Chlamydomonas reinhardtii: one gene and its partner. The protein of the gene in region 1 binds, or shares a complex with, the protein of each later gene. Links are inferred from orthologs where the notes say so. Each region holds a gene or a part of one and is shown in the gene's direction. Other genes may lie near its edges.

Region 1 (4,171 bases):
CACAGAAGGACGTCGCCGACGCCGCGGACATTTGTTCTGCAGCCCTTGCCCTGGATGACTTCAACCCAAAACAACGCGTGGAAGCTTGCGCTGCCAGCGGCTAGGCGGGGTTTACAGGCCCGGCCCACGACCACTGCGTCCCATCCTGCCATCCATCAGCACAGTACCCCAGCCGGACTGTGTGGCCCGCGGTGTACAGACCCGTCGGCTGGAGCCCTCAGTGGCTGCGCGGCCAGCTGCTGCCGACTCGCCGACTGGCTTGTGGCCCGCTGCGCCTGCAACCCGCGCATCCCCAGATCCACCGCAGCTGCGTCTGTGCGGCTGCGCCTGGGGCCACCAGCTGCGGCGGCGGGCTTCCCCAGGCAAGCCCACGGCCAGCAGCCGCCACCGTACTGCGCCTTGCCCGCGTCCCGCCGCAGCTCAGCGGTGCGGGTGGCCGTGCAGCTGCTGCACGTGGATTGTCACTGCTGAGCGGCTGTCGGCTATGTCCGTGGCACGCTTGCACGAGCGGCCATCATATTGACCGCCTGTTGGGGCCCACGCCTGCCGTTCCGTAACCGTAACCCGGCCTGGCCCCAGCGGCACACCAGCGCCCAACCAGCGCCTGTGAAGCTGCGCACTATGCCTGGAACACTGCCCCCTGGTCCGCTCTCCTCCCGTCGGAGGTCTTCCATGGAAAACACGCCCAGGCCGCCCAGCGAGTAGCTCACCTCGACCTTCTTCACGGCCACCACGCGACCGTCGTCCCGGCGGATGCCCTTGTAGACCACCGCATAGCCGCCTTTCCCCACGGGTTTCTGGACGTCGTAAGCATCCGTTAGCCTCCCAGGGCATGAAGGTACGACGCCCAGGGTCTCCCCGTCCCCCCTGGCGGTGTTTGGAGCCTCGCGCGTTGCTGGGCGACTGCCATTTTTCGATGCCTGCCGCGCTGGTGACGGGACCGTCTGCAAAGACCCCGCACCAGGCTGGGCCTCAACCGTCTGGGGCCGGCTTTCTGACTGCCTGCTCGTTGGCCGGCTCATTTGCTCACTTTGCTAGACATGCGCGACCGCGGGGCTGACCGGATATCGCCCCGCGAAGAGCTGTATTTAACACATCTTGTTTTGATAAGTTGGCAACATGAACTAACGAGTGGAAAGCTTATTAGAAAGCGGCACAACACCAGGTCGTTTGAACGCGTCGTCAAAGGTAAGAAGTAAAGCTTGTTTTCACCTTATAAGGCTGGGCATTGAGCTACTCGCGCAGCGGGCGATGGTAAAGAAAACCAATGGGCATGGAACATTTGGGACTCACGAAAATCTCTGTCGCTGCTCAGGTATTTAGTATTTTCATTCAATGCCATATTAATGCAACCATGAGGCAAGCGCTATCAGCTAGGGGCTGTGACCAGCGACTGGCGCAACACGGCTCCAGCTCAGTTCTTCGTCCACTGCAAGCACGATCTCTCCTAAAACGCTTGCAAATAGCTAGCTCCAACCAGACACAGGCGCATACAGATGTTGCAGGAACGAGCACGAGCGGGAGGGAGGAGGTGAGTCTCTGCCGAGTGCTGCGTTGAAACAGCGCTTGCCTGGGACATAAGCAGTTGCGTGGTCGCTTTAACAATTCCTGGGTGTCGTCAGCGGAGCAGATGCAGCTAGTCACGGCTTGGACCAATATCTGGGGACGGTTGACAGCTCAAGGGGAAAGCGGAATACTGCTCCACAGTCCTGGCGCAGAGGACCTGAGCCCCCCGTGCGTTGTGACGTGCACGTGCAGCGGCCCATCACCATGTCCACTGGGGAGTGGGGCGAGGAGCTGTACTTCGACTGGTAAGCGGATGAGCGCCCACCGCGCAACTCCCCTTTCGGGGTCGGCTGACTGCGTGGAGCCGGATGCCCCTGGGGGCAGTGCATCGCAAACGCCAGCAGCCTTCTGCAGCGCGGGCACAATCTTCGTGTCAGGGTTTAGGTCCTTGCCTTCGCGGCCTTCACGCTCTGACGCCTGGGCAACCGCCGCGTCGCGCCTGCTGCAGGGAGTACAACTCTCAAATATGCTACCGCCAGAAGGGAGAGGTGCGCGGTTGCGTGGGAACTCCACTCACGAACTCACCATACTGAGTCGCATAAGTCATGAGGCACTACCATCCCTGCAGCCTTCCCGTCATCTTTCACGGACGGCCCCGCCCCTTCGTCCTCCCAATCCTGATTGCAATGGTGAACGCACTCTACCCACACCCTGCGATTTACCACTTGCCGCCCCCCCCCCCCCCGCGCACAGTCCGGCCCGCCCATTCTGATGCTCCACGGCTTTGGAGTGGGCAGCTGGCATTTCCACCGCAACTGGGAGGACCTGCAGCACGACCACCGCGTGTGGGCGGTGGACCTATTGGGGCAGGGTGAGTGCGCACAGGGGTGCTTTATATGGTGCTGGACAATCGCTTGCACTTGTGTCCGGCCCTGCTCTGTCCGCCCCGTGGGTGTCGGCATAATTTGAACTCGAACAATCACCAAGTCCTGTGCTAACCATTGGTCAACGTACTGCTGACTCCACACACACACACGCGTATGCACACACGCCACAGGCCGTAGCTGGCCGGCCCAGCCTGTGTCGACCTCGGACGCCGCGGGCAAGCTGTTCTTCAGCGTGGACACCTGGACGCGGCAGCTGGAGGCGTTCCTGGAGCAGGTGGTGCGAGAGCCCGCGTACGTGGCCGGCAACTCCCTCGGAGGGTGAGTACGCGCTGCGAGGGGGCGGGATTACTTACCGTAAAGCCAAACTAACCCAAGAGGGTTACAGGCAACGGAGGGCGGTGAAGGTTGTATAGGAATGCTTGTGAGCGGCAGGGGCACAGTGCCCAGCTCTTGCTGGCCCGCGTGCACGCTCACACACAGCGTGCTCGCAGTCTCGCCAAGGGGTCCTTCTGGTCGCGGTTGCTGTAGCTTGGGATGACAGGCCGCGGCCCCGTTCCGTCGCTGCCATGGCCTAACCCTAGAGGCATGCCTGAACCTGCCTTCTCCCTGCCCCGCCTGCAGCTACCTGGCCGTAATGCTGGCCGCTCGGCGGCCCGACCTGGTCAAGGGGCTGACGCTGCTAAACGCAACGCCCTTCTGGTGAGCAGCGGGGGCACATGGCGGCGCGGGCTGGTGCGGTGAGAACAGAATCCACACCTGGCACTTCCTTGAAGCCATTGGGCCATGCAATCGGTGCTGGCGCCACACGCACTCGCGGCGTCGACCCCCCTTCTGCGTTGTGCTGTTCCTGATACACACACACGCGGTGTCTGGCTGTGGTGCGGTGCGGTGGAAACGATGGTCTCTCATCTGCTAGCTAGTCCTTTTACTGTCAGGATATCGCAGCACAACATCTGGCGATGCGACTGCGCAGGGCCTTCCGGCCGCCCCGCGCGTCGGCCCAGGCGCGCAGCTGGCTGTGGCGGGCACTGGACCGCGCGGTGGACGGCTCCGTGCCCGTGCCCCACGTGAGTGCTGCCATGCCGCGATGATGCTGTGCAGTACGGTAGAGAGAGGCAGGCTCCAGCGGGCGAGTTGCATGGGCGACGTGTGGTGTGGAGTGACGTGCAGCAGCCTCGTGTGCTGACAGGGATACGCTGTGCTGCTGCCCCTTTGCCCCGCAGTCCCTCAAGAGCGTCATTGAGCGCTACTGGTGAGCACGAGACGTTCAGCCGCTGAGCACACCGCATGGATCTACACAGCGCTGTTTGCGCTGCGCTTCAGCTGTCCTACCTGACACCTCCACGCAAACACACCTGCCGCATGCATCTCAACCGCCGCCGCCTCCATCACCTCCCTGTGCTTGCAGGTGGGACACGCTGCGCTCGCCCGCCACCATCAGCGCCATGCTGCAGCTGGTGTACGCCGACAAGAGCCCGCCCGACCCGCCGCTCATCAGCCGCATCGTGGAGGCCACACAGCACCCGGGCGCACTGGACGCATTCACAAGCATCGTGCTCAGCCCCAAGGTGAGAGCCCCGCATGCTACCTCCTCTTTTGCTTTTTCTGTGAATGATGTGGGGACGTTCTGCCATCTGCCCCAGCATCGATTGAGAAGAACCGATTAAGACTGACCAAGACCGACTGAGACCGACTTCCCTCCCGCCCGCCACTACTCTCCTGCCTGCCTGCCTCTCCCCAGGGTGAGCTGTCGTTCGACGAGCTGCTGGACCGATTGG
Region 2 (4,121 bases), on another chromosome or scaffold:
CGACCTCGACACGCGTGTCATACACACACGTTCCCCCTTCCCTCCAAACCCGACATCGTCGCCACCCACCGCCTCCACCAGCTCGCCCATGGCCTTCTCCTGGCTGGCCGGGCCCTTCTTGCCGCGGCCATCCTCGGGGTTGTAGGTCCTGCGGGTGGGGAAGGGGGGCGCCAGTGCGTGTGCGTCAGGTCAAGTTGCCGTACTGTCCTGTGGAGGCGCAGGCGAGAGCTTGGTACGACAGGGTGTACCGGTAGTGCTGTGAGCCGTGCAGAGCCTTCAGCCCCCGCCGTTCCCGCTGCTCTGCCACAGTGCCTGCCAGCCTGCCGCTCTCTCTGGCCGTGCTCCAGTCCTCCCAAAATCCCCTGCCCCTATAGCAATGCCCCCCGGCCCTTGAAATGGCGTGTGTTAGAACACTCACAGGGGAGGGGCATAGTGGGTGCGGTCGTTGCCCTCCTCGGAGGTGGCAATGCAGTTGGGCGAGGGAGGGCACAGGTTCAGGGTCTGCACGCCTGCGCCGTAGTCGATGATGCCCAGGTTGCCCGGGCGAGGGGCCGCGCCGATGGACAGCAGCGCGCCCAGAACCATAACGTTCACGGAGCGGAGCACAATCTCCCTGTCGAGGCGGAGAGGGGGAGTCATTTGTTTGCCGGGGCATGCGCGATCGGCCAGCGAAATGTCGCGAGGCACGGTTGGCCTCGCGCACCGGCGTCGCGCACACACCGAGCCTACACGCCCATAATGCATTTGTGAAAGCAAGACGCTGGTGCATTGCCTCGCTAGTCGCGCAGATCGTGGTGCAAGCAAACTTGTGCTCGGGAGGGGCTGCAACGCAGCACCGAGCTCGACAACAGCATTTCGCCCCCGGCCGTCCACCCCTTAAATATAATTCATCCACTTGAGCATTTTTTGAGGCTCAAAGCAGCCATTACAGAAAGAAACGCGAGGTTGCCCCGAAACTCACTTGGGCTGGAGCTTCTCCTCGCTGTCGCCCTTCCAGTTGGCCGCCTGGCAGACCATGCGGCGAGCCACAGGGGCAGTGCGAACAACGGCAACAGCGCTGCGGCGCTGGGCCTGGCCAAACACAACACGCTTCTGGGCCTGCAGCATTTTAAGGGTTTGTTCTGTATAAGGGCAGCTAAAAGCGAGAGGAAATCGTTTCTTACGCAAATTGAGGCAGCTTAAGCGAGCCAGAGCCCACGGTCGCGCCAGCTCATTCCAAGGGACCCACGGGCCTTGCGAGCAAACTGCGCAACTGGAAGGCTGCTAATGCCCGTAATTCGCTACCTTAGTCACTGCATAAACATACATTGCTAAGCACAGGCTGTGCTGGACTCACAAGTTGGCTTGCTGGACCAGTTCACTCGTCGTCTTTGAGCCTCGCGGACCAGAGCACACGCACTGAAGCCAGCACAAATGCTCGGTGCTCACAGCAGCTCGGCGAAGGGTGTCGCTGGGTGCTCGAGGCGCAGGTGAAAGCCTCGTGCATGGAGCAATGCGTGAGGCTCCCGACGTTCATGTCGCATTCTAGAAGGAGGCTTTGACCAAATATACTCAATGCTGCAGAGCGGTGCTCCAGCGATGCCCCACCTCTGACATCACGACACACACTGCTTGCACTTGCAGGGCGAGCCTCGCCGCTGCTCCCGGCGGTGCCCCTGTGCTGCGCGCGCCGCTCCTGCGCCCGCTCTCGGCCACACCTGCCAACTCCTCCTCCTCCTCCGGCGCTTCCTCATCCGCATCCTCTTCCACGCTAGCACCCGACTGGCGCGAGCGCGCCAAGCCAATCCAGCCGGGCAGCAGCTACCCCGCGAAGGAGCACTGCTCCAACTGTGGGCTGTGCGACACGTACTATGTGGCGCACGTGAAAGACGCGTGTGCCTTCCTGGGGCCGGGTAGGGAGCTGAGGGGAGGGGTTCTGAGGAGGGGGGAGCAGGTAATGGGCAGGGGATGGCACCCGGGCAGGGTTGGGGGGAAGGGGGCGCGGAGAGATGGTGGTGTCGACAATTGGGGTACTGCGTTTTCTCAGACTCTGTCACCTGCCCCGACTCTTGACACAAGGTCATCCCTCCATGCAGGCATGTCGCGCATTGATGAGCTGGAGGAGCGCGTGCACGGCCGCCGCCGCGACGTCAACAGGTGGGGCTGTAGATGGGGTGGGGTGGGGTGGAGGGGGGGTTGTAAACACCAGCCCAAACCCAATGCAAACGAGCGAGGAGGAGAGCGTGGGGGAGCCGGGGTAGTCGCAAGCATTCCCACACACGGAGGAGTACTACATGTGCACTAGCGCGTGGCCGTGTGGTGTTGCGGTGTCGCGGCAACGCTCTAGCCGTGAAGCAATGCCTGCGCCATCGCCCGGTGGCGCTGCTCCTATGCTGGCTTGGACTCGTTGCCACGCCAAGCAAATGTCAACGTTTCACATTCCTCACATCACCCCAGGCTCCCAACACAAGTTCCATCGCACACACACACACACACACGCAACATTCGTAAACCGTCGCTTTGCTGCATCGCATACACTGACTTTGTGCAATGTTTTCCTTGTGCTTTTCAACACGCTCAACGCCGCCACTCAACACATACTCCCGCACCCCCCCCCCCCGCAGTGACGACGAGCTCCACTTTGGCGTCACGGCCCCGGGCGGCATGGCCTACGCTGCCAACGTGCCGGGCGTGCCGGGAGCGCAGTGGACCGGCATTGTGACTCAAGTGGGGGTTGGCTGGTGTAGATGGTGGGGTTGGTTGGATGGGTGGATAAGTGGGTGCCTGGGTTGGGATGGGGGTGGTGTTAAGGGAACAACGTCCGCGCCGTGGTCTTGGTATTGCATGGGGTCATGCGTGGGCAATGTCGTACTGATATGCCTCGGCGGGCCGCGCTCCCAACTACCTGTACCAACCGCCCCCACCGCCTCTGCTACTGCGATGCTGCTGCCGTACTGCCAACCGCTTGTCAACCCCTCGCTCCCGTACCCGCCGTACATACTTGCTGCCGCTGCCGTACCGTTACCCATGCAGATCGCCATCGAGATGCTCCAGAGCGGCAAGGTGGACGCGGTGGTGTGCGTGCAGAGCGACGAGAACGACAGGTGGGTGCGCAGGCGGTGGTGGGCGTGTGGGCGTGCCGAAGTGGGCAATGGATCGAATGAGTGACGATCCGAGCCATTCGGCTGTTCGATGGTTGACTTCGTGGCGCCTCGTGGAGCTTCAGAGAGATCAAGGACGCCTGGCCAATCTTGAGGGGCCCCACCGCTCATCCGGCTAAGTCGTCGGCTAACCCGGGGGGTGCGGGCCGCTCGTCCGGCTGGGCGAGCGACTCAGCGCGCTGAGCCCGCAGCCCCCTTCACTGGGCTGAAGCTCTCAGCAGCTGAGCCTTCCGCTCAGCGACCGGAGCTCGCTGAGAGCAGCCGAAACAGCCCGTGTGATCCCTCTACACGTTTGGTCCTGGCAGCGCCTCGACTCCTACTCCTACTCATACTCCTACTGCTCTTAACCTTCTTCTTCAGCCTCTCCGTTGTCAAAGCATAGGCCACGCTGTCCTCGTCGCCCGTTTGCATTGGGATTGCTGTAGGTTGGGACGGCATCTACAGCAGTACAGCCCCACTCCCAGCCCAACCGGCGCCATTCTCCCCCTGCTTGTCCTCCACTCCCGCAGGTTCACGCCAAAGCCCGTGGTGGCTCGCACCGTGGAAGACATCATCAAGGTGTGTGCCGTACATGTTTGTGCGTGGTGTACGTGTTTTTGAGCAAGCATAAAGTAAAGTGTGTGACACGTTTAGCAGGATGCACGAAGAGGAGTGTACGGCATGCCGTGCGTGTATGTGTGCGTGGGGGCCCACGTGGACGCATGCCACCCGTCAGGCCCCGCCAGGCCCCGTCTGCTGCTGACCCGCCCAACCCCACCCTAACCACATTCCAGCCGCCCCAACCATCCGACCAACCGCCCAACCGCCCCAACTGCCCAACCACCCCACACAGGCCCGCGGTGTGAAGCCCACCCTGTCGCCCAACCTAAACGTGCTGGCCACCGTGGAGGCGCTGCAGGTGGGGGTGTGAGGATGACAGGATGTGGTGGTGTGGGGGGGAGGCGCTGCAGGTGGGGGGAGGCGGCGGTGTGTGTGTGAGGA

What was found. Proteins that work in one complex are often made in the same cells at the same time.
Region 2: CHLRE_12g514700v5 (region 1) and CHLRE_11g468700v5 share a complex: the UniProt entries of both Arabidopsis thaliana proteins name them as parts of the SGR1-CCE-LHCII complex. The link is inferred for Chlamydomonas reinhardtii from reciprocal best matches to the Arabidopsis thaliana genes PPH and HCAR.

The regions. Positions count from the first base shown.
Region 1 is NC_057015.1:3,711,687-3,715,857, forward strand, and holds the start of CHLRE_12g514700v5 (uncharacterized protein), read left to right. Parts: upstream 1-1,365; 5' UTR 1,366-1,531; intron 1,532-1,758; 5' UTR 1,759-1,770; coding exon 1,771-1,811; intron 1,812-2,014; coding exon 2,015-2,054; intron 2,055-2,259; coding exon 2,260-2,377; intron 2,378-2,563; coding exon 2,564-2,711; intron 2,712-3,014; coding exon 3,015-3,092; intron 3,093-3,366; coding exon 3,367-3,460; intron 3,461-3,616; coding exon 3,617-3,645; intron 3,646-3,801; coding exon 3,802-3,961; intron 3,962-4,134; coding exon 4,135-4,171. Other genes in the region: CHLRE_12g514650v5 (uncharacterized protein), read right to left, coding at 711-1,022. UniProt on the Arabidopsis thaliana protein: Alpha/beta hydrolase dephytylating specifically the Mg-free chlorophyll pigment (pheophytin), yielding pheophorbide. No activity on chlorophyll. Belongs to the chlorophyll catabolic enzymes (CCEs).
Region 2 is NC_057014.1:2,061,626-2,065,746, reverse strand, and holds the start of CHLRE_11g468700v5 (uncharacterized protein), read left to right. Parts: upstream 1-1,321; 5' UTR 1,322-1,413; coding exon 1,414-1,469; intron 1,470-1,623; coding exon 1,624-1,892; intron 1,893-2,075; coding exon 2,076-2,136; intron 2,137-2,603; coding exon 2,604-2,706; intron 2,707-3,012; coding exon 3,013-3,083; intron 3,084-3,649; coding exon 3,650-3,698; intron 3,699-3,972; coding exon 3,973-4,038; intron 4,039-4,121. Other genes in the region: CHLRE_11g468750v5 (uncharacterized protein), read right to left, coding at 70-148, 419-613, 962-1,107. UniProt on the Arabidopsis thaliana protein: Probable iron-sulfur flavoprotein that converts 7-hydroxymethyl chlorophyll a to chlorophyll a using ferredoxin as a reducing equivalent. Catalyzes the reduction of a hydroxymethyl group to a methyl group. Belongs to the chlorophyll catabolic enzymes (CCEs).